Stegostoma tigrinum: one gene and its partners. The protein of the gene in region 1 binds, or shares a complex with, the protein of each later gene. Links are inferred from orthologs where the notes say so. Each region holds a gene or a part of one and is shown on either strand. Other genes may lie near its edges.

Region 1 (9,389 bases):
AGGAATCAATATTGCTCAGGGCAAAAAGAAGCCAAGGAAAACTTCTGTACAAACACTTCCACAACTGAGAAATTTCTGAGAGTGGTGGTTGAGGCAAAACTTTGCTAATAGTCAAGATCAGATTAGTTAGGTGAATCAAGGAAAAAGGGATACTAGACACAAGGTGATAAACACCAGCTAGGTGAAAGTGTTTCCAAGGAAGGGCAGAGAGTTTCAATTCCTATGTGGCCATAAGATGTAGGAGGAGAAGTCGACACTACCATTTGATGAGTTAACGGCTGATCCATTAATCCGCAGTTTCACTTTCCTGCTTTATCCTCACAACTTTCGATTCCCTTAATGATTAAAAACCTGTATGTCTATCTCAGGCCTGAATTTATTTAATAACACAGCTTTGACAGTGGAACAGTCCCTCTTCCGCACCTACACAGGCCCCAAACCCCACCTCTTCCTCCGTTACATTGATGACTGTATCGGCGCCGCCTCTTGCTACCCAGAGGAGGTCGAACAGTTCATCCACTTCACCAACACTTTCCACCCCAACCTTCAGTTCACCTGGGCCATCTCCAGCACATCCCTCACCTTCCTGGACCTCTCAGTCTCCATTTCAGGCAACCAGCTTGTAACTGATGTCCATTTCAAGCCCACCGACTCCCACAGCTACCTAGAATACACCTCCTCCCACCCACCCTCCTGCAAAAATTTCATCCCCTATTCCCAAATCCTCCGCCTCCGCCGCATCTGCTCCCACGATGAGGCATTCCACTCCCGCACATCCCAGATGTCCAAGTTCTTCAAGGACCACAACTTTCCCCCCACAGTGGTCAAGAATGCCCTTGACCGCGTCTCCCGCATTTCCGTAACACATCCCTCACACCCTGCCCCCGCCACAACCGCCCAAAGAGGATCCCCCTCGTTCTCACACACCACCCCACCAACCTCCGGATACAATGCATCATTTTCCAACACTTCCGCCATCTACAATCCGACCCCACCACCCAAGACATTTTTCCATCCCACCCCTGTCTGCTTTCTGGAGAGACCACTCTCTCCGTGACTCCCTTGTTCGCTCCACACTGCCCTCCAACCCCACCACACCCGGCACATTCCCCTGCAACCACAGGAAATGCTACACTTGCCCCCACACCTCCTCCCTCACCCCATCCCAGGCCCCAAGATGACTTTCCACATTAAACAGAGGTTCACCTGCACATCTGCCAATGTGGTATACTGCATCCACTGTACCCGGTGTGGCTTCCTCTACATTGGGGAAACCAAGCGGAGGCTTGGGGACCACTTTGTAGGACACCTCCGCTCGGTTCGCAATAAACAACTGCACCTCCCAGTCGCAAACCATTTTCACTCCCCCTTCCATTCTTTATATGACACGTCCATCATGGGCCTCCTGCAGTGCCACAATGATGCCACCCGAAGGTTGCAGGAACAGCAACTCATATTCCGCTTGGGAACCCTGCAGTCCAATGGTATTAATGTGGACTTCACCAGCTTCAAAATCTCCCCTTCCCCCACTGCATCCCAAAACCAGCCCGGTTTGTCCCCTCCCCCCACTGCACCACACAACCAGCTCTTCCCCTCCACCCACTGCATCCCAAAACCAGTCCAACCTGTCTCTGCCTCCCTAACCTGTTGTTCTTCTCACCCATCCCTTCCTCCCACCCCAAGCCGCACCTCCATCTCCTACCTACTAACCTCATCCCACCTCCTTGACCTGTCCGTCTTCCCTGGACTGACCTATCCCCTCCCTATCTCCCCACTTATCTTCTTTTCTCTCCATCTTCGGTCTGCCTCCCCCTCTCTCCCTATTTATTCCAGAATCCTCACCCCATCCCCCTCTCTGATGAAGGGTCTAGGCCCGAAATGTCAGCTTTTGTGCTCCTGAGATGCTGCTGGGCCTGCTGTGTTCATCCAGCCTCACATTTTATTATCTTGGATTCTCCAGCATCTGCAGTTCCCATTATCATAGCTTTGACAGCTCTGTGTTAGAGAATTCCAGGTTCATCATCCCCAGAGGAAAAAAAAATCCCCATCACTTTTTAAATTTTTAAAATTCATTTACAGGATGAGGGTGTGGCTAGCTAGGCCAGCATTTATTCCATAATTGCCCTGAGTCAACCACATTGCTGTTGGTCTGGAGTCACATGTAGGCCAGACTAGGTAAGGATGGCAGTTACTTCCCCTAAAAGGAATGAGTAAACCAGATGGATTTTTCCAACAACGGGTTCATAGTCATTATTAGCCTCTTAATTCCAGGTATTTATTGAATTCCAATTCCAACAGCTGTCATGGTAGGATTCAAACCCAGGTCCCCAGAACGTTAGAGATAATGGGAACTGCAGATGCTGGAGATTCCAAGATAATAAAATGTGAGGCTGGATGAACACAGCAGGCCACGCAGCATCTCAGGAGCACAAAAGCTGACGTTTCGGGCCTAGACCCTTCATCAGAGAGGGGGATGGGGGGAGGGAACTGGAATAAATAGGGAGAGAGGGGGAGGCGGACCGAAGATGGAGAGTAAAGAAGATAGGTGGAGAGGGTGTAGGTGGGGAGGTAGGGAGGGGATAGGTCAGTCCAGGGAAGACGGACAGGTCAAGGAGGTGGGATGAGGTTAGTAGGTAGCTGGGGGTGCGGCTTGGGGTGGGAGGAAGGGATGGGTGAGAGGAAGAACCGGTTCGGGAGGCAGAGACAGGTTGGACTGGTTTTGGGATGCAGTGGGTGGGGGGGAAGAGCTGGGCTGGTTGTGTGGTGCAGTGGGGGGAGGGGATGAACTGGGCTGGTTGAGGGATGCAGTGGGGGAAGGGGAGATTTTGAAACTGGTGAAGTCCACATTGATACCATATGGCTGCAGGGTTCCCAGGCGGAATATGAGTTGCTGTTCCTGCAACCTTCGGGTGGCATCATTGTGGCAGTGCAGGAGGCCCATGATGGACATGTCATCAAGAGAATGGGAGGGGGAGTGGAAATGGTTTGCGACTGGGAGGTGCAGTTGTTTCGACCCCACCACCCAAGACATTTTTCCATCCCCACCCCTGTCTGCTTTCCGGAGAGACCACTCTCTCCGTGACTCCCTTGTTCGCTCCACACTGCCCTCCAACCCCACCACACCCGGCACCTTCCCCTGCAACCGCAGGAAATGCTACACTTGTCCCCACACCTCCTCCCTCACCCCCATCCCAGGCCCCAAGATGACATTCCACATTAAGCAGAGGTTCACCTGCACATCTGCCAATGTGGTATACTGCATCCACTGTACCCGGTGCGGCTTTCTCTACATTGGGGAAACCAAGCGGAGGCTTGGGGACCGCTTTGCAGAACACCTCCGCTCAGTTCGCAACAAACAACTGCACCTCCCAGTCGCAAACCATTTCCACTCCCCCTCCCATTCTCTTGATGACATGTCCATCATGGGCCTCCTGCACTGCCACAATGATGCCACCCGAAGGTTGCAGGAACAGCAACTCATATTCCGCCTGGGAACCCTGCAGCCATATGGTATCAATGTGGACTTCACCAGTTTCAAAATCTCCCCTTCCCCCACTGCATCCCTCAACCAGCCCAGTTCATCCCCTCCCCCCACTGCACCACACAACCAGCCCAGCTCTTCCCCCCCACCCACTGCATCCCAAAACCAGTCCAACCTGTCTCTGCCTCCCGAACCGGTTCTTCCTCTCACCCATCCCTTCCTCCCACCCCAAGCCGCACCCCCAGCTACCTACTAACCTCATCCCACCTCCTTGACCTGTCCGTCTTCCCTGGACTGACCTATCCCCTCCCTACCTCCCCACCTACACCCTCTCCACCTATCTTCTTTACTCTCCATCTTCGGTCCGCCTCCCCCTCTCTCCCTATTTATTCCAGTTCCCTCCCCCCATCCCCCTCTCTGATGAAGGGTCTAGGCCCGAAACGTCAGCTTTTGTGCTCCTGAGATGCTGCTTGGCCTGCTGTGTTCATCCAGCCTCACATTTTATTATCCCCAGAACGTTACTTGGGTCTGTAGATTGATGGTCCAACAATAATACCACTAGGCTATTGCCTCACTTTAAATGGGTGTCTCCTTACTCAGGGGATGATGCCCTCTGGTCCTGGACTCTCCCATCAGGGGAAACAACCTGCTTGTACTCTTTGTACCCTGTCAAGCCCCCTAAGGATCTTCGACGTTTCAATCGGGTTACTTGTCATTCTTCTAAACTCCGATAAGTAACTTTTTTTTAAAAAACAAACGCAAGTGACTCCCCCGCCCCAACTCTTTTCTCGGGTTTCTACATGCAAACATTAATTATTTGCATAATTCTTCTCCTGGTCTTTCCCAGAATTTCTGCAAGAATACAGCATTGACTATTTGCCCAATCCAAAGATTTGAAGCCACTCAAGTGCCTCCCTATCCGCACCTTTTGTGTGTGTGCTTGCTACAAGTTTTGAAATATATAACGTTCACTTATTGCCCGCATGCAGATGGGTTTAAGAGACAGCGGGCCCGACTCTGACCTTTACAACGGTAAGGAAAGTGGTGGGACACCGAGTCTGGTTAGGCCGGAGGAAGGAGGGACGGAGGGCCAGGGTCTCGAGTAGTCGGCGTTCCGCCTGAGAGGAGCTGAACCTGTAACCGGTGGGTCTACACTCACTCACCTTCACCTAAGCGGCCACCTCTCTACAACCAGGGCAAGCGGTGGATACAGTCACACCCGGAATATGGGGAGGAATGAGAGAGGTGGTAGAGTCTATTCACCTCTGACCCGCTGACGTAGCGGAGACAAGATGGCGGCCCGGGCAGCGGGAGCCGGAGTCCGGCTCGTGTATTGAGGAGAAGGAAAGGAGAAATCCAGGCCGGCCCGTAAAGGGCGCGGGGCATCGGCCTCAGCGCTTAACTTTAACCAGGTATGTTATTCTTTAAGTTGTGAAACTCTCGCATTTTCGAGATTAAACGCTGGAATTATCAGAAGTAGGCGGAGGTGGATTTTTAGTCCACCGTCCCTCTGTCTCCTCCCCCATCCCCGGCCCCCCTGGGATCGAACCCATTTCCATGCTCTTGTTCAGATTTGTTCCCCATCCAGAAACTTTTTGGGATTCATTGTGACAAATATGAAAAGGAAAAAGACAAGGGTGACATAAAAACACAACAGAGAGCAACTGCTATATCTCGGAAGTACGTTCGACTAAAACTAATTTAGGAGGACACAGTACAGATTTCAGAAATAAGGACTTGTGCTTGATATACTTTCAGGAGGTGTAGGGTGCCTACAACACACACGATGGATATGTTATATAAGAATAAGGCCCATGCAGGATATTTTAGAGGATTAGCATTTGACTCAACAGAGTACAAAAGTAGAATCATAGTAAATCAGAGGACAAACGAAAGTTATTAAGGGAAATGGATAAAATGGCAGATAGGAATTGTAGGTGGTTCATTTTATTTGGGCAAAAATTAATTTACTTTGAAAGATTAGAGGAATTTGGGTGAGTTTTAGTTAAAGGGAGCACTTCTGATAGGTGATACTGTAAACATCCAACTGAGTTTTGATTTTGAGTAAAGTGATCTAGGTACAAAAGTTAAGTTGTAATAAATGTCAACCTTGACACTGACTACAGCTGGAATATTGTGTTTTGAAGGTGAGGGCTGATTGGATAGTTTTAATACCTGCAGGTAAAAGGATATGCTTTTTGATATGATCTACCATTATTTGAGTTGTATCGGCTGCGTTTCACACAGGTTTACAAGACTCAAAGCACATTATCCGGCATTATATATGATGCTGAAATTTGACAACATTTGCCAAATACTCTTGAATATGCAAATAATTATTCTAACAACAAATTTAGGATTGTCAGTTCTGCTGACCATGTGGCACACTTACACTTACTAGTAGCAAATTTGTATTAACATTAATAATTAAGAAATTATATGGTAAGGTGGAATTTTGAGAGAGTGAGAAATGTTTAACATTCAATAAAGTGATTTATTTTATGTAATGTTTACAGAAATCATAATTGAGTTTAATAGAGATAGTAGGAACTGCAGATGCTGGAGAATCTGAGATAACAAGGTGTAGAGCTGGATGAACACAGCAGGCCAAGTAGCATTAGGAGCAGGAAAACTGACATTTCGGGTCTAGACCTGAAATCAGAGATCTGGTTTGTATTGGAGTTTCATAAATCTACCGTATATATTAAAGATCTTGACATGAATTGTGGAAGAATATCTAAATAGACATTTTTAATCAACCTGTTCAGTTATGCCCCAGGAGCAGGTGGGACTTGAATTTGGTCCAGAGGTAACAATACTACCGCTGCACCACAAAAGCGAAGAAAAAGGCAAAAATGCAGGGGACACAGGCAAATAAAGAGGGAATTGTGAAGGTCTGTAGATGGCCATTGAATAGTGAGATGAATAGACACCAATAGCTGGCAGAAACAGTGCAGTGTAGAAAAATGTGAAGTGATAAATTTTGCAAGTAGGGACATGATTCAAATAGTAAGATTTGAACAGATGAGTGTTGGAGCTTCGCTGTGGAGTAGCTGGTTCACTAAAGGTTACAACACAAGTAAATCCTTTCTGAAAGAAAGCAAAACAATTTTTTTAAAACTAGAGGTGTGGAATACAAAAGCATGGAATATTGTTGAACCCAAATGACATCTGGAATGTAAGATGGGCAAGTCATTGTAGGGTAGATATAAAGGAATGGATAATGGCCCATGTAAGTTTCCTTGGAATGGAACAGTTCTAGCAACTTGACACAGCAGTAACCACAGTTCCCTGTACTCCTCTTTTACTGACTTTTGCACCTGATATGTCTGTTCGGGCTTAATTTCACACAGCTCCTCCAGAAAATTTGATTGTTTTTGAATCTTTCAAGAAGATAGAAGAAATGAAGACAGACGAAATTTACGAGCTACACTTCTTCAATACTCTTTAAGAGTGGCAAGCCTTTGTGCATCACACCAAACTGTTAAACTATTTATCACTGAATCTCAAAGATCTTTGGGCCGGACTCAATTTAATTAAGAATAAATTGTTTCAAATTTTAGTTATTGGTTGAAGCACATAGTGTAGATTTATTGGTGTGCTAGATGAGCACACGTGGGCGAAGCAAGCAAAGGGTTATGATGTATTTAGATAAGGAAGAAGGCATGAGTAGCATATGGAATTGGTTGCACTGCATTGATTATTTCTGAACCGTATATCCGGTATGATCTTTTTATGCATTGATATCTAAAGATTCTTATTTACTTCTATTTAATGGCTGTATAAATTATGTGTGTGTTAATTATTTTTTCCATTTTACCAGAGGTGATTGTTTATTTGAAAATCAACAATGACATCTATCATCAAACTGACCACCATTTCTGGAGTCCAGGAGGAATCAGCCCTGTGCTATATGCTACAGGTGGATGAGTTCCGCTTTTTGCTTGATTGCGGCTGGGATGAAAGCTTCTCCATGGACATAATTGATGCACTGAAAAAGTAAGCAAACTGTTATTTATAATGACTTAATTGAATGTGAAATATTTGAAAACAGGGTCCAAAATGCTGGGCTGTAAGAAACCAGAGATTTATAATAGGTAATATTTGGAAGAGTGCAAAGTTCCTGAAGGATTGTAGGAATGGAGGAATTTATAGAGTTGTGGATGAGTGAGGCTTTCAGACTCTTGGACCTATAGAGTCATATTCTAAATTTACTGGATTAAGTTCACCAAAAATGGCACAAAGTGGTAATGGGAGAGCATAACAACATGTGTCAAAATAGATGTGGCAGGATTTTGGAAAAACTCAAGTTCACAAAAGGTGGAAGATGAGAGGCTTCTTGGATCTTTTTATTTATTTATTCATTGACACCTTATCCAGATATCCACTTTCAAGTGCAACCTGAAATCTTGAACCTCTGTAGGTAACTTGCCATTAGAGTGTATGAGACTGATTCAAATTTTTATCTATTTTTCAAACGTAGTTACTTTTAGAGGTTATTGCGCTTACGAGAAGTCAATGAAAATATCATTTGGATAATTGAAAATATCTGCTTTGTTTATTAAAAGCTCCATCTAGCTACACTAACAATAAAATCAATATTTTCATTACTATGTTAAAAATATTTGTAACTGTCAAGAAAATATTTTTCTTCTTCCATCAGTTTTGAAGTTGCATTTTACTGATTCTAATTTCGAGTCATAGTCAAACCTCACCGAAACAGAACCTTTGGTCCAACTCATCCATGCCAACCAAGTTTCCCAAACTAAAGTAGTCCTACTTGCCTGTGTTTGGCCCATATCCATCCAAACCTTTCCTATTCTTCTATCTGTGCAAATATCTTCTAAATGTTGTAACTACATGCATCTACAACTTCTTCTGGCAGTTCATTCCACATGCGAACCACCCTGTGTGTGAAATGTTGCCCCTCAGATCCCTTTTTAAATCTTTCTCCTCTGATCTTAAAAATATGTCCTCTAGTTTTGAACAACCCTATCCTAGGGAAAAAAACTTCTGCTATTCTCCTTATCTGTGACCTTCATGATTTTACAGACCTCTGTAAGGTCATCCTACAGCCTCCTACACTGCAATGAAAGAATTCCAAGTCTGTCCCTAAAACGCAAACCCTCCAGTCCTAACAATGTCCTTCTCAATCTCTTTGATCCCTTTCCAATTTAATTATAAACTCCCTGGAGCAGGGTGACCAGAACTGTACACCGTACTCCAAAAGTGGCCTTACCAATGTCCTAGACAGCTGCAAAATGATGTCCCAGCTCCTCTATTCCATGGTCTAAGCAATGAGGCACGCATGTCTTCTTAAGTACCCCATCTATCTGTGACTTTCAAAGAACTTTGTACCTGAACCCCTAGGTCTCTCTGTTTGACAGCACTGCCCAGGGCTCTACCATTAACTATTTAAGTCTTGCCCTTGCTCAGTTTGTATCCTTAGATTCAATGGTTTTGTTTAATTTAATATTGTAATCTGATTATATTTTATCCATACCATTTAGTAAGAGCCTCGTGCCTCAGTGCACTTGATCTCAAATTTCAATAACATTTTCTGAATTTATCCCGAAGACTGAAATATCGATTCCAATGGTCAGTATTGTTCAGCATATCACATGCTATGTTGTGCTGCAGTAAAACAATATTCACTACCTTTCTCAGAAATTTAGTGGAATCTTGATTCAAAAGTTGTCTGACGTTAGTAAAATAAAATGAAATAAAGCCATTGCAGGTTTCTCAGTTCAGTATTTTTGCAGAATTGTTTCACATCTGACCTGAACTTCAAATCAGCAGCTGTTTAGTTTCTGAGAACTGCTTAATCAATTTGAAAAATAAAGTGTTCATAAAGACTTCTTGTCTTTAATCATTTGAGTAAAGTGATCAATTAGACATAAAGACATTT
Region 2 (10,117 bases), on another chromosome or scaffold:
CTCTTCCAAGAGGTGGTGCAGACTCGATGGGCCAAATGGCCTCTTTCAGCATGCTAGGCATTCTATGGTCCTATTTTGATAAAGTTTCATTTACCAAAAATGTTACTTCTGGTTTCTTGTTCCATATACTTCTGGGCCTGCTGAGTATTTCCAGCAATTTTTGTTTTTATTTCAGGTCTCCAGAGGCTAAGGTATTTACTCCTTTCCACCTCTTACACTTTACTGGCCCTCCTTAAATACTATTCATTTCAAACACTTTTTTGGGCAAAGAAGTTTCTTTTGAATTCCCCACTGCATTTCTCAAAGACTATCTTTACTGATAGCCTATAGTTACACCGTTCACAAAAAGTGTAAACATTTTACGTGTTCGCCCTTATCAAAACCTCTCATATGTTTAAACATGTCACCCCCAACCTTTTTATTTTCATGTAAGATCTATCCTTTTAAACTTTTTCTGACACATACATCCAGACATTTCTGGTATGATTCCCATAAATCTTCTTTGCACTGTCTCCAGTGGGTCTTTGCTTTAGGATTGCTCTTGCTGTGTTCGTATAAAGTCTGCAATCATCTAACCTTTAGGATAACAGCAAGCAGTAGACAACCCTATATAATATATAAAGGAGAAGGCCATTTAGGAGGTAGGAAGGCAGTTTGCTGTGAAGAAAGTTTCTAAGATTACATAGAGATCAAGATCAAATGTGAGGAGCAGATGTAGTTTAATTTGGATAAATGTGAAGTATTGTATTTTGGTAATACAAATTTGGGCAGGACTTATACAATTAATGGTAGGGCACGGGTAGTGTTGTAGAACAAAGAGACGTCGGGTTTCAAGTACATAATTCTTTGAAATATGCGTCACAGGTAGACAGGGTGGTTCAGACTTGCCTTCATTGCTTAGAGGAGTTGGAACATCATGTTGAAGTTATACAGGGCAGTGGATAGGCCTCTTCTGGAGTACTGTATGAAGTTCTGGTCTCTGTGCTCTAGGAAGGATATTATTAAACTGGAGACAGTTCAGAAAAGATTTACCAGGATGTTGCTGGGACTGGAGAGTTTGACATATAAATATAGACTGGAAAGGATGAGACTTTTTTCACTGGAGCATAAGAGGTTGAGGGATGACCTTACAGAGGTTTATAAAATCATGAGGAGCATAGGTAAGGTGAATAACAAAGGTCTTTTCCCCAGGGTGGAGGGGTTCAAAACTAGGGGCATACTTTTAAGGTGGGAGGAGAAAGATTTAAAAAGGATATGGGGGCAATTTTCTTTTTTGCAGAATGTGGTTTGTGTGTGGAATGAACTGCCAGAGAAAGTAGGAGATGCAGGTACAGAAAGGTTGAGAGGGATATGGGCCAAGTGTGAGGCTATAGTGTAAAAACATGGTTGGCATGGACTGATTGGACCGACAGGTCTGTTTTCATGCTGTGTGACTCTTTGGTGTGATAATGTCATGGAACTATGTAATCTAAAACTCCCAATGAATGTTCTGGGCATGTGTGTTCATATTCCACCATGGCAGATGATGAAATTTAACAAAAACAATATCCTAAGGATGGAGATCTGAAATAAAAACAAAGTACCGCAGGAATACAGCAGATCTGACAGACAAATGTGGCATGAGTAATTGAGTAACCGAAGAGGGCTGGCCCGTGACTTGTTTTAATGCTATTTGACAAAGGGGAGGCAGAGTGAGCGAAACGATGGTGAGGATGCAAATAGCAACAAAGCGTGTAAATGTTAAAAGAAAAGGATCTAGATCCTTCCTTTACTGCCTTCAGTCCTTCATGTTCCCAAACGTCTCACCTTCACCACTATGAAAACGCCCTTTGTCGTTGGAGTGGGCAATCTCACCATCTGTTTCATCCTCTCCTTTGTCTGTAGCATAAAGCCATCATTTTTATGGCCACCCTCAGTTCCAAACAAGATTCTTTGCACAATATTAACTCCACGCCTCAATCTCGGCTCCCCATGCTGTAACTGGATCCTTGACGTCCTGACCCATAAACTGCAATCAATAAGAACAGGTGACGACACCTCCTCCACCGTAATCCTCAACACCAGCCCCTTAAGGTTGTGTACTCAGTACCCTACTATTCTTCTCATACACTCACAGCTGTGTGGCCAAATTGGAACCCAACACTATAAGTTTGCTGACAACACCATCATTGTAGGTCAGGTCTCAAACAATCATGACACAGAATACAGCAAAGAGATTGGGTGCTTAGCCTCACAGTGTAAGTACAGCAATCTCTCCATCAATGTCAGCAAAACAGAGGAGCTGAGCATTGACTTCAGGAAGCGGAGTGGAGGGCACACTGCTGTCTGCATCATTGTACTGAGGTGTAGATGGTCAAGAACATCAGACTCCTGGGAGTGACGATCACCAACAATATTTCCTAGTTCATCCACATCAACACGACGGTCAGGAAAGCACAGCACCATCGCTACTTCCTCAGGAGGCTAAGGAATTTCAGTGTGGCTAATAAGGACTCTTATCAATTTTGACAGATGCATCATACAAAGCATCCAATCTGGATGTATCACCGCATGGCATTGCAACAGCTTTTCCCAAGACCACAAAAAACTACAGAGAGTTGTGAACATTGCTCAATTCATCACTCAAACCAGAAGACAAAGAAGTTTAAACATGCATACAAATATATTCAAGAAAAGCTTCTTCCCCACAATTATCAGGCTTTTGAACAAACCTCTTTAAGGTTAATTCCGATCTCTTTGTGCACCTTCTCTGCAGCTGTAACACTGTATCGTGTACTTTGTTCTGCTATCCTGATGCACCTTGTATGGTACAATATGTCTGTACAGCACGCAAAGCAACACTTTTCACTGTATTTCAGTACATGTGACAACAATAAATCAATCAATTTCCCAAACACTGCCAGACCTGCTAAGCTTCTCCAGCACTTTCTACATTGACATAGTCAGTATGTGCAGAGAACTAGTGGTTAAATATAATAGCACAGGATGAGATACCCACCATACATCATCCCTAGAGCAGAGAACCTAAACCCACTTGAGAATTTTAATAAACATTTCTCCTCGAAACCGAACCTTTCCAGTTGTCCCCATGTGCTTCCGGTCGGGAGAGTCCCCGCCCACAAATGTCGCCATTGGCCAAAATACAGAGACTGGAGACGCGAATGGGCCATTCTCGCCAAGAAGCCTCAATGTGATTGGTCGTAATCAATGTCAATCAGTGGGAGGCTCGCTCCAAGACCAGTGCAATAGAGTATCGAGCAAGCGAACTAACCCCCCCCCCCCCCACAGACTTCAATGCCTGGAGTCTGCTTTAGAAATACCATTTATAAAACACAACAGCATATGTCATGGAGTGTGTGCAAAGGTAAGACTGCATATTAGGAAGGCAGCTTTCCCACATTCTATTCCTTGGAATTCCCATCAAATCCCTTTTGTTTGACCAAGTTTATGGGTTCCCCATTGCTTCTTCTGCAGTTGCATGTGCCTCATATCTGGTTGGTAAAAGCGTTATATACATGTAATTTATTGCTAAGTTGTTTGGCAACATTATTCCCACTGCAACAAATAGCATATATTTACACAGGGTATTTTGTTATGGCATAGAACCTAAACACAGGCCTGTATCCTATGAGGAAATGTGGCGTTCTGATATAAGGTACCTGTCCCAGCTTCAGTCTGTCTGTACAAAAGGTTCAGTATCATATCTTTAGTTAGTCAGCTCTGTGTAACTGGTTAGTGTTGTAAATAACCTTTAGATATCTATCTCAAAAGGAGCCTAAGTCTATTGTAATGTGGGCGAATATATAAAGAAACCCACAAAGCACATCATGATGGTGGTAAATGGGTATTAAAAGCTAGTGGTGAAGGTGAGTTAGTTGCACTAAGTGGATGCTAAAGGCCTGAAAAGATTATAGTAACGTAACAATTCTGAAACGTCTTTTACCTGACAGTATTCCATCAATCTGACTGAGATTAGAGCTGAAGTTGCAACTACAATCAAGACTAGAGTAATAGGTGTAAAATTAATGTCTACAACCTGTAATGAAGTGTAGTGAGTACTCTGCTCTTTAAAACAAACTGGTATAAGGTGCTCGACACTCCAATATTTAAAACAAAACATCAATTTACCAGAAGCCCAGGACAGCTCTGATTTTTAAAAATATGCAATTTAAAAATGTGGAAGGACAGCCTTCCTGATCGAAGAAATTAATTTTGTAACAAAGTACAGAAAAATGTTACAGGACCTGTGTTCTAATACCAGGCAGTTCCACTATTTTCCTGAAACAGCATGAGAATAACAAATAACCATTATCACTACTACATTTTTTTGTGCAGAGGCCACTTACAAGCACGAGCTTGCATCTTTAAAAGGGGGTAACATTTAAAAATAGAGAAAAGAGGAAACAAGCTAACAACAGCACTACAGATCTTCATACTGGCATTTTAGAGAGCATTAGGCTACAAAAAGAAAATACAAAAATTTCACCATAGACTAGCAATCCACTGACTTTGTCAGAAATTCACTTGTGTAAAGAATCAAATATTTACTTTATGGATCAGTGGATAACTGACAAAGAACAACAGGCCGCCAAATCTTTCCTTGCGTTGGACACTGAAGGGATAAGAAGAATAAAATGCTTTGGCACTTCAATGGCGACTTCAAAGATTCTAATGGAATGTACAAGGATGCATAGAGATATATTATGATATCTATATATTCAATAATGCCTTGGTGGACATGTAACACAGTTATCACAAATGTTAACTCTAAACTACATGCAACTATTCTGAGAGTCTGGGTTCTGTGCTTACTTATGTTACTGGACATTTCTTACATGTAGTTAACTGACTGAAGGCATGACACTGCCTTCATTAAACAAATAGAGTCTGAAGGGGAGATGGCTACCTTTCAATTGTAAGGCACAAATATATTGAAAATTAATCAGAATTACCTGTAAAGTGCTTGAATATAAAGCAAGGGATACCGATAATTGTAGACCTGCTATTAAGATGAGACACACGAAGCAGAAAGAGGAGAATCACACTTTTAAAAGTATATGTGAGATAGAGAATAGCTGAGTGACGGAGAAGGAAGCATTTCTGGCAAATCACTCAGGTAGCAGCAGCCCAGGAGCCTGTGAGAAGAAAACTGTGTGTGTTGACACTGAAGTAGGTGAGCGGGGGGGGGGGGGGTGTCATTATTCCACCCTTAACAACAAATGGCTTCTTACTCCAGATCCCAGCAGTCCCGCTCTGAATGAAAGTGGGAAGCTGGATGACCACAGCAGGCCAAGCAGCATCTCAGAGCACAAAAGCTTTTGTGCTCCTGAGATGCTGCTTGGCCTGCTGTGTTCATCCAGCTTCACACTTTGTTATCTTAGATTCTCCAGCATCTGCAGTTCCCATTATTTCTGAATTAAAGTGCAATGTGTTAGAGTCTGAAGGCCAAATATTTCCAAGATGATAACATGACCTACACATCAAACACACTTCATTAGCTGTAGATGGATTTGGAACCGCTTGAGGTGGTGAAAGGTGCTAGGCAAATGCAAACCCTGACAATCCACGGGGGCTACAAAGTGAAGACGAGGAGACGCTCGCTGTTCAGTATAGGAACGGCTGCCCGCTCCTCCAGTACAGTCGGGGGCGCTGTGACTGGCGACGGGTCGCCTCTTGATGCGGCGGCCGGCTCGTTGTTTGGAGCAGGGGGCTGAGCGGATACCGTACCCGGTGCTCGGGCCTCCCGTCCGGAATCCGGCGCTGGTTGTAGTAGTAGTTGTTGTGAAGCCTCGGGCCCGGCTCAGGTGGCGGGAGGATGCAGGAGCTCATTTCAATGTGGAGCACATCAGGTTCGAGCTGGAGATCGCGGTGGAGCAGCAGCTGGGGGCGCAGCCTCTCCCGTTCCCCGGAATGGACAGTGAGTGCGGGGGGAGCGGGACCTCTCACATACTGCACCCCCCCCCCCACTCACCAAACCCCCCCACTCACCAACCCCCCACTCACCAATCCCCCCCCACTCACCAACCCCCCCCCACTCACCAACCCCCCCCCACTCACCAACCCCCCCCACTCACCAATCCCACCCCCCCACTCACCAACCCCCCCCCCACTCACCAACCCCCCCCCCCACTCACCAACCCCCCCCACTCACCAATCCCCCCCCACTCACCAACCCCCCCCCCACTCACCAAACCCCCCCCCCACTCACCAACCCCCCCCACTCACCAATCCCCCCCCCCACTCACCAACCCCCCCACTCACCAACCCCCCCACTCACCAACCCCCCCCCCACTCACCAATCCCCCCCACTCACCAATCCCCCCCCCACTCACCACCCCCCCCCACTCACCAATCCCCCCCCCACTCACCACCCCCCCCCACTCACCAACCCCCCCCCCACTCACCAACCCCCCCCCCCCCACTCACCCAACCCCCCCCACTCACCAACCCCCCCCCACTCGCCAACCACCCCCCCCCACTCGCCAACCCCCCCCCCACTCGCCAACCCCCCCCCCCTCGCCAACCCCCCCCCCCACTCGCCAACCCCCCCCCCACTCGCCAACCCCCCCCACTCGCCAACCCCCCCCACTCGCCAACCCCCCCCATTCACCAACCCCCCCTCCCCCCATTCACCAACCCCCCCTCCCCCCATTCACCAACCCCCCCATTCACCAACACCCCTCTCACCCCATTCACCAACAACCCCTCCACCCATCCCTCCTCCCCCCCCATCCCTCCTCCCCCCCCATCCCTCCTCCCCCCCCATCCCTCCTCCCCCCCCCCATCCCTCCTCCCCCCCCATCCTCCTCCCCCCCCCATCCCTCCTCCCCCCCCCATCCCTCCTCCCCCCCCCATCCCTCCCCTCCCCGATCCCCTCCCCGATCCCCTCCCCGATCCCCTCCCCGATCCCCTCCCCGATCCCCTCCCCGATCCCTCCCCGATTTCCCCCATCCCCTCCCCCATCCCCTCCCCCATCCCCTCCCCATCCCCTCCCCCATCCCCTCCCCCATCCCCTCCCCGATTTCCCTCCCCCCATCCCCTCCCCGATTTCCCTCCCCCCATCCCCTCCCCCCATCCCCTCCCCGATTTCTTTCCCCCTCCCCTCCCCGATTTCCCCCCCTCCCCTCCCCGATTTCCCCCCCTCCCTCCCCGATTTCCCCCCTCCCTCCCCGATTTCCCCCCCACAATTTCCCCCCCATCCCTCCCCGATTTCCCCCCCTCCCCTCCCCGATTTCCCCCCCTCCCCTCCCCGATTTCCCCCCCCACAATTTCCCCCCATCCCCTCCCCGATTTCCCCCCCACCCCCTCCCCGATTTCCCCCCCCACCCCCTCCCCGATTTCCCCCCCCACAATTTCCCCCCCATCCCCTCCCCGATTCCCCCCCCATCCCCTCCCGATTCCCCCCCCCATCCCCTCCCCGATTCCCCCCCCATCCCCTCCCCGATTTCCCCCCCTCCCCTCCCCGATTTCCCCCCCTCCCCTCCCCGATTTCCCCCCTCCCCTCCCCGATTTCCCCCCCCACAATTTCCCCCCCATCCCCTCCCCGATTTCCCCCCCACAATTTCCCCCCCATCCCCTCCCCGATTCCCCCCCCATCCCCTCCCCGATTTCCCCCCCCATCCCCTCCCCGATTCCCCCCCCCATCCCCTCCCCGATTCCCCCCCCATCCCTCCCCGATTTCCCCCCCCTCCCCTCCCCGATTTCCCCCCCCATCCCCTCCCCGATTTCCCCCCCCCATCCCCTCCCCGATTTCCCCCCCCATCCCCTCCCCGATTTCCCCCCCCCATGCCCTCCCCGATTTCCCCCCCCATGCCCTCCCGATTTCCCCCCCCCATGCCCTCCCCGATTTCCCCCCCCCATGCCCTCCCCGATTTTCCCCCCCCATGCCCTCCCCGATTTTCCCCCCCCCATGCCCTCCCCGATTTTCCCCCCCCCATGCCCTCCCCGATTTTCCCCCCCCATGCCCTCCCCGATTTTCCCCCCCCATGCCCTCCCCGATTTCACCCCCCATGCCCTCCCGATTTCCCCCCCCCCATGCCCTCCCCGATTTTTCCCCCCCCCATGCCCTCCCCGATTTTCCCCCCCCATGCCCTCCCCGATTTTCCCCCCCCATGCCCTCCCCGATTTTCCCCCCCCATGCCCTCCCCGATTTTCCCCCCCATGCCCTCCCCGATTTTCCCCCCCATCCCCTCCCGATTTCCCCCCCCCCGATTTCCCCCCCCCATGCGCTCCCCGATTTTCCCCCCCATGCCCTCCCCGATTTTCCCCCCCATCCCCTCCCCGATTTCCCCCCCCGATTTTCCCCCCCATCCCCTCCCCGATTTTCTCCCCATCCCCTCCCCCCTCCCCCTCCCCCTCCCCCTCCCCCTCCCCCTCCCCGCTCCCCCTCCCCCCTCCCCCCTCCCCCATCCCCCTCCCCCCTCCCCCATCCCCATCCCCCTCTCCCCCATCCCCCTCTCCCCCATCCCCCTCACCCCCATCCCCCTCTCCCCCATCCCCCTCTCCCCCATCCCCCTCTCCCCCCCACTCTCCCCCCCCCCACTCTCCCCCCCCACTCTCCCCCCCCCACTCTCCCCCCCACTCTCCCCCCCCACTCTCCCCCCCCCACTCTCCCCCCCCCACTCTCCACCCCCCCCCACTCTCCCCCCCCCCACTCTCCCCCCCCCCACTCTCCCCCCCCCACTCTCCCCCCCCACTCTCCCCCCCCCACTCTCCCCCCCCCCACTCTCCCCCCCCCCACTCTCCCCCCCCCCACTCTCCCCCCCCCCCCACTCTCCCCCCCCCCACTCTCCCCCCCCCCACTCTCCCCCCCCCCACTCTCCCCCCCCCCACTCTCCCCCCCCCACTCTCCCCCCCCACTCTCCCCCCCCCACTCTCCCCCCCCACTCTCCCCCCCCCACTCTCTCCCCCCCCACTCTCTCCCCCCCACTCTCTCCCCCCCACTCTCTCCCCCCCACTCTCCCCCCCACTCTCCCCCCCCACTCTCCCCCCCCACTCTCCCCCCCCACTCTCCCCCCCCACTCTCCCCCCCCACTCTCCCCCCCCTCTCCCCCCCCCCAACCCTCCCCCATCCCCCCCCTGCCATTGCCCCCACTCTCCCCCATCCCCCCACTCTCCCCCCCACTCTCCCCCCCACTCTCCCCCCCACTCTCCCCCCCACTCTCCCCCCCACTCTCCCCCCCACTCTCCCCCCCATCCCCCCCACTCTCCCCCCCATCCCCCCCCTTCCCCCCCACTCTCCCCCCCCTTCCCCCCCACTCTCCCCCCCCCATCCCCCCCACTCTCCCTCCCCCATCCCCCCCACTCTCTCCCCATCCCCCCCACTCTCTCCCCCATCCCCCCCCACTCTCCCCCCATCCCCCCCCACTCTCCCCCCATCCCCCCCCACTCTCCCCCCATCCCCCCCCACTCTCCCCCCATCCCCCCCATCCCCCCCCCACTCTCTCCCCCCATCCCCCCCCCACTCTCTCCCCCCATCCCCCCCCCACTCTCTCCCCCATCCCCCCCCCACTCTCTCCCCCCATCCCCCCCCCACTCTCTCCCCCACTCTCCCCCCCCCACTCTCTCCCCCCCCCACTCTCCCCCCCCCCCCACTCTCCCCCCCCCCACTCTCCCTCCCCACTCCCCCCCCCCCCACTTCCCCCCCCCCCACTTCCCCCCCCCACTTCCCCCCCCCCCCACTTCCCCCCCCCCACTTCTCCCCCCCCCACTTCCCCCCCCCCCACTTCCCCCCCCGCACTCTCCCCCCCCGCACTCTCCCCCCCCCGCACTCTCCCCCCCCGCACTCTCCCCCCCCCGCACTCTCCCCCCCCGCACTCTCCCCCCCCCACTTCCCCCCCCCACTTCCCCCCCCCCACTTCCCCCCCCCCCACTTCCCCCCCCCCCACTTCCCCCCTCCCCACTTCCCCCCCCGCACTCTCCCCCCCGCACTCTCCCCCCCCGCACTCTCCCCCCCCCCGCACTCTCCCCCCCCCGCACTCTCCCCCCCCCCGCACTCTCCCCCCCCCCGCACTCTCCCCCCCCCCGCACTCTCTCCCCCCCCGCACTCTCCCCCCCCCCGCACTCTCCCCCCCCCCCGCACTCTCCCCCCCCCCGCACTCTCCCCCCCCCGCACTCT
Region 3 (10,398 bases), on another chromosome or scaffold:
ATCAATGTTTACCCTGAAAGAACACAGTGGAGCAGTTTTCACCACACAATGCTGCTAACAGGCCCATTGCAACTAAATTTGATGGTGAAATGAAACTGAAGGTCACGTTAAGTTGTGTGGATGATGGAAGGAAGCTACAAAAGGGACACAGTGTAAGGTAGCAGATAAAACTGCCGAGTTCAGTTTGGGAAGTGAGAGATGATCTAGTTGGACCTGACACACAATTTTGGAAAATACAAGACAGTAAAAATTGCTAAGGAGTGCATGATCCAGATGCTCTCAAAGTTAGTATCCAGGCACAAAAAGAAATCAACAATGCCAATTGCCATGATCTCAAGGGGTTTGCACATTAAGGTGAAAAGATAACACAGTGGTTACAGACTATGCGGCATACGTTATTCAGTTTTGAAAACTAAACCTCAAGAAGGACATTATTGATTTTAGAGGTAATATAGTGCAGACTCACCAGAATGGGATCACGGTTTCAATCTTAAATTATCATGATCGGATACATTAGCATAGCTGTAATTTTCAGAGTTCAGAAGGGCGAGGATTGATATAATCAATGTTTTGTTTTATGTTTTATGGAAATCATTTGTGTAAATGCAGAGAAACCAGTATTGGGAAAATATACAACAGCAGAGCATAATCTTAAACTTGCCATTTAGGTAAGATCATAAAATATAAAAGCAGAATTAGGCCACTTAGCCCATCAAGACTTCTTCATCGTTTGATCATGGCTGATACGTTCCTCAACGCCATCCTCCCGGCTTCTCCCCATAACCCTTGAACCCCATATCCATCAAGAACCTGTCTATCTCTGTCTTAAATACACTCCATGACTAGGGCTTTATAGCCCTCTGCAACAATGAATTCCACAGATTAACCAACTTTTGATTGACGAAGTTCCTCCTCATCTCAGTTCTTAAGGGCTGCTCTTCATTCTGAGGCTGTGCCCTCAGGTCCTAGTCTCTCCCACTAATGAAAAAGTCTTCTCCCTATCCAGTCTAGCCAGGTGTCTCTGTAGGTTTCAGTGAGATCCCTGCTCACCCTTCTAAACTGCATAGAGTACAAACCCAGAATCCTCATGACAAGCTCAACATCACCGGGATCATTTTTGTAAACTGCCTCTGGTTCTCCTCCAATGCCAGTACATCTTTCCTTAGATATGAAGCCTAAAACTGCTCACAATATTCCAAATGACCAGAGCCTTTATACAGCTTCCACAGTACATTTCTGCTCTTGTATTCTGTGAATGCTAAAATTACACCTTCCCTTCTGACTGCCAACTGAACCTGCATATCAACCTTAAGAGAAATCTGAACTAGGACTCCCAAATCCCTTTGTGCTTCAGATTTCTAATGGCATTCTGTTTAGAAAACAGACAGCATCTCTATTCTTCCTTTGAAAGTGCAAACCTCACATATTCCAACACTGTATTCCATGTACCACTTCTTTGCCCACTCTCCGAGCCAATCCAAATCCTTGTGCAGCCTCCCCACTTGCTCAACACTACCTATCCCTCCACTTGTGGGCCATCTGCAAATTTAGCAAAATTGCCCTCAGTTCCTTTGTCCACATTGTTAATGTATAACACGAATAATGTGCAGTCACAATGCTAATGCCACATGTTACCAGTTGCTGTCCTAAAACAAGACCTCTTAAACCCCACTACTCTGCTTTCTGCTCGTCAGCCAATCCTCCATCCATTCCAGAACCTTGCCCCTAACACCACAGGTTCTTAAATTATTTAGCAGCCCTCCATCCAGCACCATGTCAAAGGCTTTCTGGCTAAACAGATCACATCCACTGGGGCTCCTTTGATTTTATTGTTACCTCTTCACCAAAATTCTCATAGATTTGTCAGGCATGACCTCCTCTTGACGAACCCATGTTGACTCAGCCCCATTTTACCATGCATTTCCAAGTACTCCGCAATCTCATCCTTAATAATAGACTCTCAAATCTTACAGGGTAGGAGAAAATAGGAACCTGCTCCCCAGAAAAAATTGTGTATGTCAGTCAATTAAGATTGGAAAATTGACAGATGTTGCACAGGAAAGATACCAAAGTACGTGGAATAAAGACAAGCAAAGGAGTTGAGGTAAAGATCAGCAATAATGTAACTGAATAAGACAATAGGTTCATGGGACAGATGGGTTATTTCTATCCCTGTGTTCCTACAAACAATAATATAAGCCTTTTGTTTAAAATGTGTGAAAAGGAGAGCAGCATTTTGGTTATAGCAAAATCTTAACAAAACTAGCTCTCAAGTCCAAATGTCAATGATCTGTTTAACAATCTGATTATATATATTATTCCCATCTCAGTCAATGCAACAACTTTTTATTTGTCATCGAGAGTAACTCAACTAAATACAGCGATTGGGTCAATGAAAACAAGGTTCAAATGAAATCTCCTTTTGAAGCCATGTTGTAATTCCTTAATTCTAAAATAGAAAGCTGTAATACTTACTGACTAATAAGGAGAAGATCTATCTCCGCAGGGTCGATCAAATCAATGTATGGAAGTGCATCCATTCCTTCAAGTCCAGGGTGGATTCCACAATCCAACTGAATACGATAAAATTCAGGTGAAGGCGAATCAATAGGCCATCAAAATCAATTCTCAAAGCCGAGTTTAGCATGTTGTTAACGTGAGACCAGATAGACACATAACACCAATATAATCTAATACAAAACAAAGCTTCTTAATCGGATCACATTGCCACCAATTAACCTACAGTTTGAAGAAAGTTTGCAAGCCATATTTTTAATCAACATAGACATCATTAACAAATATGTGTATCAGTCAGTTTGCAAGAAATCAATTAAAAAATATTATATAAAACTGTAACAATTGTTTAATTTCTGCTAGCCAATCAATGATATTTACTGACAACAAAAACTGAAGTCAACTAGCAATCCTGAAGCCTACTGTACACATTTACAATTTATTAAATCATACCATGATTTTCCTTCCTTTGAACTCCACAATGATGCATGATCTTCCCACCTCTTGACCAGCTCCTCTATTAACAATTCATAAAAAAATTCTCAAACTTATGTGATGAAAAGCAATGTCTTCTACTGCATCAATTTGAAGAATTATGAATTTAAAAAAGTTGTCTGATGACTTTACAGGCCAGTGCATGAAGTACAAGCATGGATTTGGTCATCACACATACAAGGTTTAAAGTTTTAATTTGAAAGATAAATTCCTGCTGCAGAGATCTCTAACATCAGAGATAACTGAACATCAGTTGCATCCAATATGCAGTTTTCTCAAAAACAGCAGGCTTGTGTGTATTGGGAGAGATACAGGGGAGGGAAGGAAAACAGAGATGGGTGTACAGGAGAGGGCCGAGGGAGATGGGGAATATGTGGGAAGAAGCTGGGGGGGTGGGAAGAAGCGGGGGGGGGGAAAGAAGCGGGGGGGGGGGAAGAAGCGGGGGGGGGGGAAGAAGCGGGGGGGGGGGAAGAAGCGGGGGGGGGGGAAGAAGCGGGGGGGGGGGAAGAAGCGGGGGGGGGGGGAAGAAGCGGGGGGGGGGGGAAGAAGCGGGGGGGGGGGAAGAAGCGGGGGGGGGGAAGAAGCGGGGGGGGGGGGGAAGGGGGGGGGAAGAAGCGGGGGGGGGAAGAAGCGGGGGGGGGGGGAAGAAGCGGGGGGGGGGGAAGAAGCGGGGGGGGGGAAGAAGCGGGGGGGGGGAAGAAGCGGGGGGGGAAGAAGCCGGGGGGGGAAGAAGCGGGGGGGGGGAGAAGCGGGGGGGGGGAGAAGCGGGGGGAGAAGCGGGGGGTGGGGGGGGAGGGAAGAGGGGGTGGGGGGAGGGGAGGGGGGTGGGGGGAAGGGGTGGGGGGAAGGGGAGGGGGGGTGGGGGGAAGGGGAGGGGGGTGGGGGGTCGGGGTTGTTGGTGGGGGTCGGGGTGGTGTTGACGGTGTTAGGGGGTGGGGGTGGGGGTGGCACTCACAGCGGGCGGATCAGCAGCTGGTCGCTCTCCTCCGCCGGGACAAAAATCTCCGCTTTCCGCTTAGCCGCCATTGCCGGCCTGGGCACTTCCGGCCCGGCCCCAGTAAACCTCCGGCTGGAAACCGCCTCCACCCCTCACAGGCCGGGAGGTCGGGGGACACAACAAAGTGAAACACTCGAGTCTTGAGAGGGGTTTCATCACAAAGTGTCATATTGTGCACTGAGATAATCGTGTTATTTCTGTAAGAAACCGGGTAATTTGTCAGGTAATTCGTTTTGTTTTTGAAGGTTTTAATATATAGAACGTTTTATACATGTTAAAATCGATGTGTTTTTTTGAGATTCAAATCGTTGGGCATGTTATATGTTGGTGCTCGTCAGCAGTGACTCTCTTTTATAATTAAACTCTTGGTTCCACTTAACCTTTAATGCAGGCCATTCAGTGATGTGATGTCTTAAAGGTAAATGTAATGAAGTACTAAACTGACTGGCTGTACTTAAGGGATGATCTGCACTAGGATCAGAGCAGGTACATCCAAGGATATTGAGGGAAGTGAATGGCGGTCTCCTTAGATACCAGGGTGTTGCCAGACGACTGAAGAATCCTAAGTGCTACATCCTTGTTCGAACCAGAGTGTGCAATATACCTAGTAATCACAAACTGGTTGATTTAACTTCAGTGGTGTTGAAGGTCTTCACGGAATATGGTGTGGATAGAGTCCATTCGGCCCTTTGAGTCTGCCCCAACCCTCCAAAAAGCATCCCATCCATACCTACTCTGCCCCGCCGACCCTAACACCGCATTTATGATGGCTAATCCACCTGCCTACACAATCCCCATGCAGACACGGGTGGAAAGTATAAAACCCACATAGACAGTCACCAGAGGTTGAGTCAACACTTGGTCCCTGGTGCTCTGAGGCACTGTGCTAACCACTGAGCCACTCTTAGGAATAGTAACTGAGGGCACAATTAGCACCACTTGACAAATGTTGATGAGTCAGGGAAAACCACCATGGATTTCTTTAAGAGTAGCAAATGGTAGTCTAAAGAAAGGTAATTAACGTAACCGCACTGCTTAAGGGAAAAGAAGGGAGAGAGAAAGCAGGGAATTATAGATCAGTTAACTCAATGTAGATGGTTAGGAAAATGTTTGAGTCCACTATAAAAGATTTAATGGGAGGGCATTTTAGAAAACAGTGACAGGATTGGACAGAGTCAGTATAGATTTATAAAAGGGAAAGCATGCTTGACAAATCTACCGGAATTTTTTGAATTGATAAGGGGGAGCCAGTGGATATGGTTTACTTGGGCTTTCAGAAGGCTTTTGATAAGGTCATAGAGTCAGAGAAGCCATACAACATGGAAACAGACCCTTCTGTTCAACTCATCCACGTCAACCAAATGTCCTAAATAAATCTGGTCCGTTTCTCTCTCAACCCTTTCTAATCAGGTACCCTTCCAGATGCCTTTTAAATGTGTATTTGTACCAGCCTCCACCACCTTTGGCAGCTCATTCCACACACGTAGCGCCATGAAAAAGTTGCGCCTTAGGTCCATTTTAAATCTTTCCGCTCTAACTTTAAACTCCTCTAGTTTTAGACTCCCTTACCTGGGGAAAAGACCTTGGTTATTCACCTTATCCATGCCCCTCATGATTTTATAAACCCCTATAAGGTCACTCCTCAACCTCCAACACTTCAGGGAAAATTGTCCCAGCCTATTCAGCCTCTCCCTAAAACTCAGACACTCCAATCCCGTCAATGTTTTTCTAAATCTTTTCTGCACCCTTTCTTGTTGTTCAATGGTGGGAATCATGGTCCGTGGGAAATAGAGGGAGAGTGAGTGCTGGCAGTCAGCCTCAGCAAGAAAGAGATCAGTACACCAGACAACAGCACAACCCTTGTTGGCAAAGGTTTGATCTGAGAGCATGGAGTGCACTCAGTTCAGAGGGAGATCGGTTCAAATGCGTGAGCGGGGCAGGGGAAAAAAATTAGGGTGACCAATGTGATATTGATAGTTCTCAGTGAACAAATTGTTCACGGTTAAGGAAAGGAGGGAGGGGTCCAGGTAGAGGGAGAATAGAATTTTGAGAAGATTTGTAGCTCAGGTTGAGGTTCTGGATGTGAGTTTGCTTGCTGAGCTGGAAGGTTAGTTTTCAGACGTTTCATCACCTTTTTTTTATTTGAAAAAATATACTTTATTCATAAGATGCACAAAAAATAAAACATATTTATACACCTACCCAGTCATGCAAGCTGCTCCGGGTTACCCAGGGGGTACGTACACCAACTAAAGGAAAAAAAAACAAACAAAGAAGAAAAAAAAACAAAGCAAAGAAAATACCCCGGCAGTCGTCACTCCGCACAGTCCCAGTTGGCCCCCTGACCAGTTGGGGAAGGCGCCAGCTGGGCCCAGTTACCAGATAGGGCCCTTTTTTCTATTCTGGATGAGGGGTTTCATACCGTGGTCTTTCCCCACCGTGCCTTGGCGGCGGCTGCCCCAAGCTTCAGCGCGTCCCTCAGCATGTAGTCCTGGACCTTGGAGTGCGCCAGTCTGCAACACTCGGTCGGGGTCAGTTCTTTCAGCTGGCAGACCAGCAAGTTGCGGGCAGACCAAAGAGCGTCTTTCACTGCATTGATGGTCCTCCAGGCGCAGTTGATGTTGGTCTCGGTGTGCGTCCCAGGAAACAGCCCGTAGAGCACGGAGTCCCGCGTCACGGACCTGCTCGGGACGAACCTCGACAAATACCACTGCATCCCCCTCCAGACCTCCTGCGCATAGGCACACTCCAGAAGGAGGTGATCGACAGTCTCGTTCTCCCCCCGCAGCCACCTCGAGGGCAGTGTGCGGTGGCGCAGAGATTCCGGGCATGCATAAAGGATCTCACTGGCAGAGCCCCTCTCACCGCCAGCCAAGCAATGTCCTTGTGCTTGTTTGAAAGTTCTGGCGATGAGGCATTCTGCCAAACGACTTTGGCAGTCTGCGTGGGGAACCACACGACGGGATCCACCCTCTCCTTTTCCCGAAGGGTCTCAAGGATACTACGTGCTGACCACTGCCTGACGGCCTTGTGGTCAAAGGTGTTTCCCTTCAAAAACTTCTCCACGAAGGACAGGTGGTACAGGACGGTCCAACTACTCGGAGCGTTCCGCAGCAACGAGGCCAGGCCCATCCTTCGCAACACCGGGGACAGGTAGAACCTCAGTAAGTAGTGACACTTGGTGTTTGTGTACTGAGGATCTACGCACAGCTTGATGCAGCCGCACACCGAGGTAGCCATCAGGGCGAGGGTGGCGTTCAGTACGCCCTTTCCCCCATTTTCCAGGTCTTTGTACATGGTGTCCCTGCGGACCCAGTCCATCCTCGACCCCCAAATGAAGTGGAAGATGGCCCAGGTGACCGCAGCGGCGCAGGTCCAGGGAATAGGCCAGGCCTGCGCCACATACAACAGTACCGACAGCCCCTCGCACCTGACAACCAGGTTCTTACCCGCGATGGAGAGGGACCAGAGCATCCACCTGCCCAGCTTCTGCTTCAATTTGGTGATACACTCCTCCCAAGTCTCAGTGCACGGCCCAGCTCCACCGAACCAAACACCCAGCACCTTCAGGTAGTCTGTCCTGACGGTGAAGGGGATGAAGGAGCGGTCGTCCCAGTTCCCGAAGAACATGACCTCGCTCTTACCCCTATTGACTTTGGCACCCGAGGCCAGTTCAAACTGGCCGCAGATGTCCAACAGCCTACTCACCGACTGACGATCGGTGCAGAAGACGGCGACGTCGTCCATGTACAGGGAGGTCTTGACCTGAAGGCCTCCGTTGCCTGGGATAGTCACGCCCTTCAGGCTCACGTCCTTCCTGATGGATGGGGCGAAGGGCTCCACACAGAACACGAACAAGGCAGGAGAGAGCAGGCAGCCCTGCCTGACTCCAGATCTGATGGGAAAACTGTCCGATTCCCACCCGTTGATCGAGACTGTGCTAACGATGTTGGTGTAGAGCAGCCGGATCCAATTGCGGATGCCCTCCCCGAACGAGGACGTCTCTCATGTAAGCGTGAGAGAACCTGTCGAAGGCCTTCTCCTAGTCCAGGCTGACGAGGCAGGTGTCCACTCGCCTGTCCTGTACGTAGGCAGTTGTATCCCTGATGAGCGCGAGGCTCTCAGCGATCTTCCTGCCTGGCACAGCACAGGTTTGGTCAGGGTGAATCACCGACTCCAGGACAGACGTGACCCGGTTGGCTATGACCTTGGCCAGGATTTTGTAGTCCATGTTCAATAGTGAAATGGGACGCCAATTCTTAATTTCTTCCCTCTCCCCCTTCCTCATGGACTTGCACATTTCCCCTGCCTGAAGCGCACTATCGTACACCTCCAGCAGGTCCTGGCCGACCAGGTCCCACAGAGCGGAATACAGCTCGACCGGTAAGCCGTCACTCCCGGGAGTCTTATTCCTCTCCAAGGACTTGAGGGCTCTGGTCAGCTCATCCAGGGATATCGGCCAGTCCAGCCACTCCCTCGTGCTGTCGTCTAAGACCTCCGTGATAGACGACAGGAACGACTCGGAGGCTGTGCTGTCCGTGGGCTTCATGTCGTACAGTCCGGCATAGAAGGATCTGCTGATCCTCAAAATGTCGGGCCGAGACGACGTCACCGAGCCGTCGTCCTCCTTCAGCCGGCTAAGCACAGAGCTCTCTTTGTGCACCCTCTGAAAGAAGAAACGCGAGCACGTCTCGTCCTGCTCCATGGAGCGGACCCTGGACCGGAAGATTATCCTGGAGGCCTCCATGGTGAAGAGCGAGGCTTGCTGGCCCCTCACCTTGCGGAGGTCCTCCGTGACATCGACCCCCATCAACTGCAGAAGGAGCAGGTTCTGCACCCTTTTCTGGAGTTGCGACAGCTTTCCCCGCCTCTCTCTTGCCTTCCGAACACCCTTGAGGACAAAGAACCTCTTGATGTTCTCCTTCACCGTCTCCCACCAGTCGCCCGGAGACTCGAAGAGGGGTTTCAGGGTTCTCCAACCGGCGTACTCCCTCTTAAGCTCCTCGACGTTCTCTGGGATAAACAGAGTCGTGTTGAGCTTCCATGTCCCCTTGCCGGCCGGCTGGTCGTCCTGTAAGTGACAGTCGGCCAGCAGGAGGCAGTGGTCAGATAAGAACACCGGCTCGACGCCGGTGGACCTGACTGAGAACGTCCATGACACAAACAGGAAGTCTATCCTTGAGCGAATAGACCCGTCAGGCTGCAACCAGGTGTACCTCCGCTGCACTCCGTCTGCAGGGGTGCTGAAGACGTCGAGCAGCTTGGCGTCCTTCACCGTCCCCATCAGGAATCTGGACGTGACATCCAGTTGACTCCCCCCACCCGCTGTCCCCACGCCGGATCTTCCATCTGGATCGATGATGCAGTTGAAGTCTCCGCCTAGGATGACCGGCCTGGACGTAGCCAGCAGGGGTGGAAGCCGCTGCAGGACGGCCAACCGCTCACTCCATACCGCTGGGGCGTACACGTTGATCAGCCTCAGGGTAGCATTCCTGTAGGTGACGTCAGCCACTAGGAGGCGTCCCCCCACCACCTCCTGAACTTGAGAGATGGTGAAGTTGCGCCCCCGCAGCAGAATAGCCAGGCCCGAGGATCGACAGTCATTACCCCCCGACCAGATTGAAGGCCCACAGGTCCAGGCGCTGGACCATTTCCCGTACCTGCTGAGGTGCGGTATCCCGCACTCCTGCAGAAACAGGATGTCCGCCTTGACGGTGGTCAGGTAGGCCACCGTGGACACACATCTTGCGGTGGACTTGACGCTGCGCACATTAATGCTCGCAATTCGTACCCCCATTGTGGGTAGTGACCGCAGTACCCACCCTGAGTCCAAGGTCCAGCCCCTCCATCTGTCCCTTCATGCCCATTGCCCTGGCTAACTGCTGGACGCTCTCTGGGCTCAGGAAACCGTCCATGCTGCCTTCCGGGTGGCATCCCCCCGTCGGGGGTACGGAGGCAGGAGAGTCCGGCTCTGGGTCAGGCTGGGGACGCGCTGTTTCCTCCTTCCCGCCTGGAAGTTCTGGGGGGCCCTCCAGGGCCCCAGCGGCACATGGCTGGTTGTTGGAGGGAGCCTCAGGATGCCTCCCGTCACCTGGAAGCTGGGTGCTGCTTTCCTTCTCCCTTGAGATCTTTAGCTTCTGCTTTGGGTGGGCCCTCTCCAAATCTCCCTTGTCAGAGGAGGTCTTATAGCCCCCTTGTAGCTGCCTCTTCCCGCCTGATGGTTGTGGTTCCTGGGCCCGCTGACGCGCCTTCCTCCTCGCTTTCCAGACCGTCATCCACTCCCCTGGGTCACCTGTCACCGCCTCCATCGACTCCGGGTTGTCGGGGGGGGAGCGGAGCCTGGAGGGGCGCTTTGCTGGCCTCGGTCCCATCCCGCAGGGCTGGGCCCTCCT

The links.
Region 2: cpsf2 (region 1) and cpsf4 share a complex: the UniProt entries of both Homo sapiens proteins name them as parts of the cleavage and polyadenylation specificity factor (CPSF) complex. The link is inferred for Stegostoma tigrinum from reciprocal best matches to the Homo sapiens genes CPSF2 and CPSF4.
Region 3: cpsf2 (region 1) and cpsf3 share a complex: the UniProt entries of both Homo sapiens proteins name them as parts of the cleavage and polyadenylation specificity factor (CPSF) complex. The link is inferred for Stegostoma tigrinum from reciprocal best matches to the Homo sapiens genes CPSF2 and CPSF3.

The regions. Positions count from the first base shown.
Region 1 is NC_081363.1:27,961,784-27,971,172, reverse strand, and holds the start of cpsf2 (cleavage and polyadenylation specificity factor subunit 2), read left to right. Parts: upstream 1-4,757; 5' UTR 4,758-4,893; intron 4,894-7,304; 5' UTR 7,305-7,331; coding exon 7,332-7,480; intron 7,481-9,389. UniProt on the Homo sapiens protein: Component of the cleavage and polyadenylation specificity factor (CPSF) complex that play a key role in pre-mRNA 3'-end formation, recognizing the AAUAAA signal sequence and interacting with poly(A) polymerase and other factors to bring about cleavage and poly(A) addition.
Region 2 is NC_081376.1:10,069,686-10,079,802, forward strand, and holds the start of cpsf4 (cleavage and polyadenylation specificity factor subunit 4), read left to right. Parts: upstream 1-5,656; 5' UTR 5,657-5,676; coding exon 5,677-5,917; intron 5,918-10,117. UniProt on the Homo sapiens protein: Component of the cleavage and polyadenylation specificity factor (CPSF) complex that play a key role in pre-mRNA 3'-end formation, recognizing the AAUAAA signal sequence and interacting with poly(A) polymerase and other factors to bring about cleavage and poly(A) addition.
Region 3 is NC_081357.1:115,212,536-115,222,933, reverse strand, and holds the start of cpsf3 (cleavage and polyadenylation specificity factor subunit 3), read right to left. Parts: upstream 4,092-10,398; 5' UTR 4,036-4,091; coding exon 3,965-4,035; intron 3,032-3,964; coding exon 2,968-3,031; intron 2,575-2,967; exon of another isoform or gene 2,574-2,574; coding exon 2,476-2,573; intron 1-2,475. UniProt on the Homo sapiens protein: Component of the cleavage and polyadenylation specificity factor (CPSF) complex that plays a key role in pre-mRNA 3'-end formation, recognizing the AAUAAA signal sequence and interacting with poly(A) polymerase and other factors to bring about cleavage and poly(A) addition.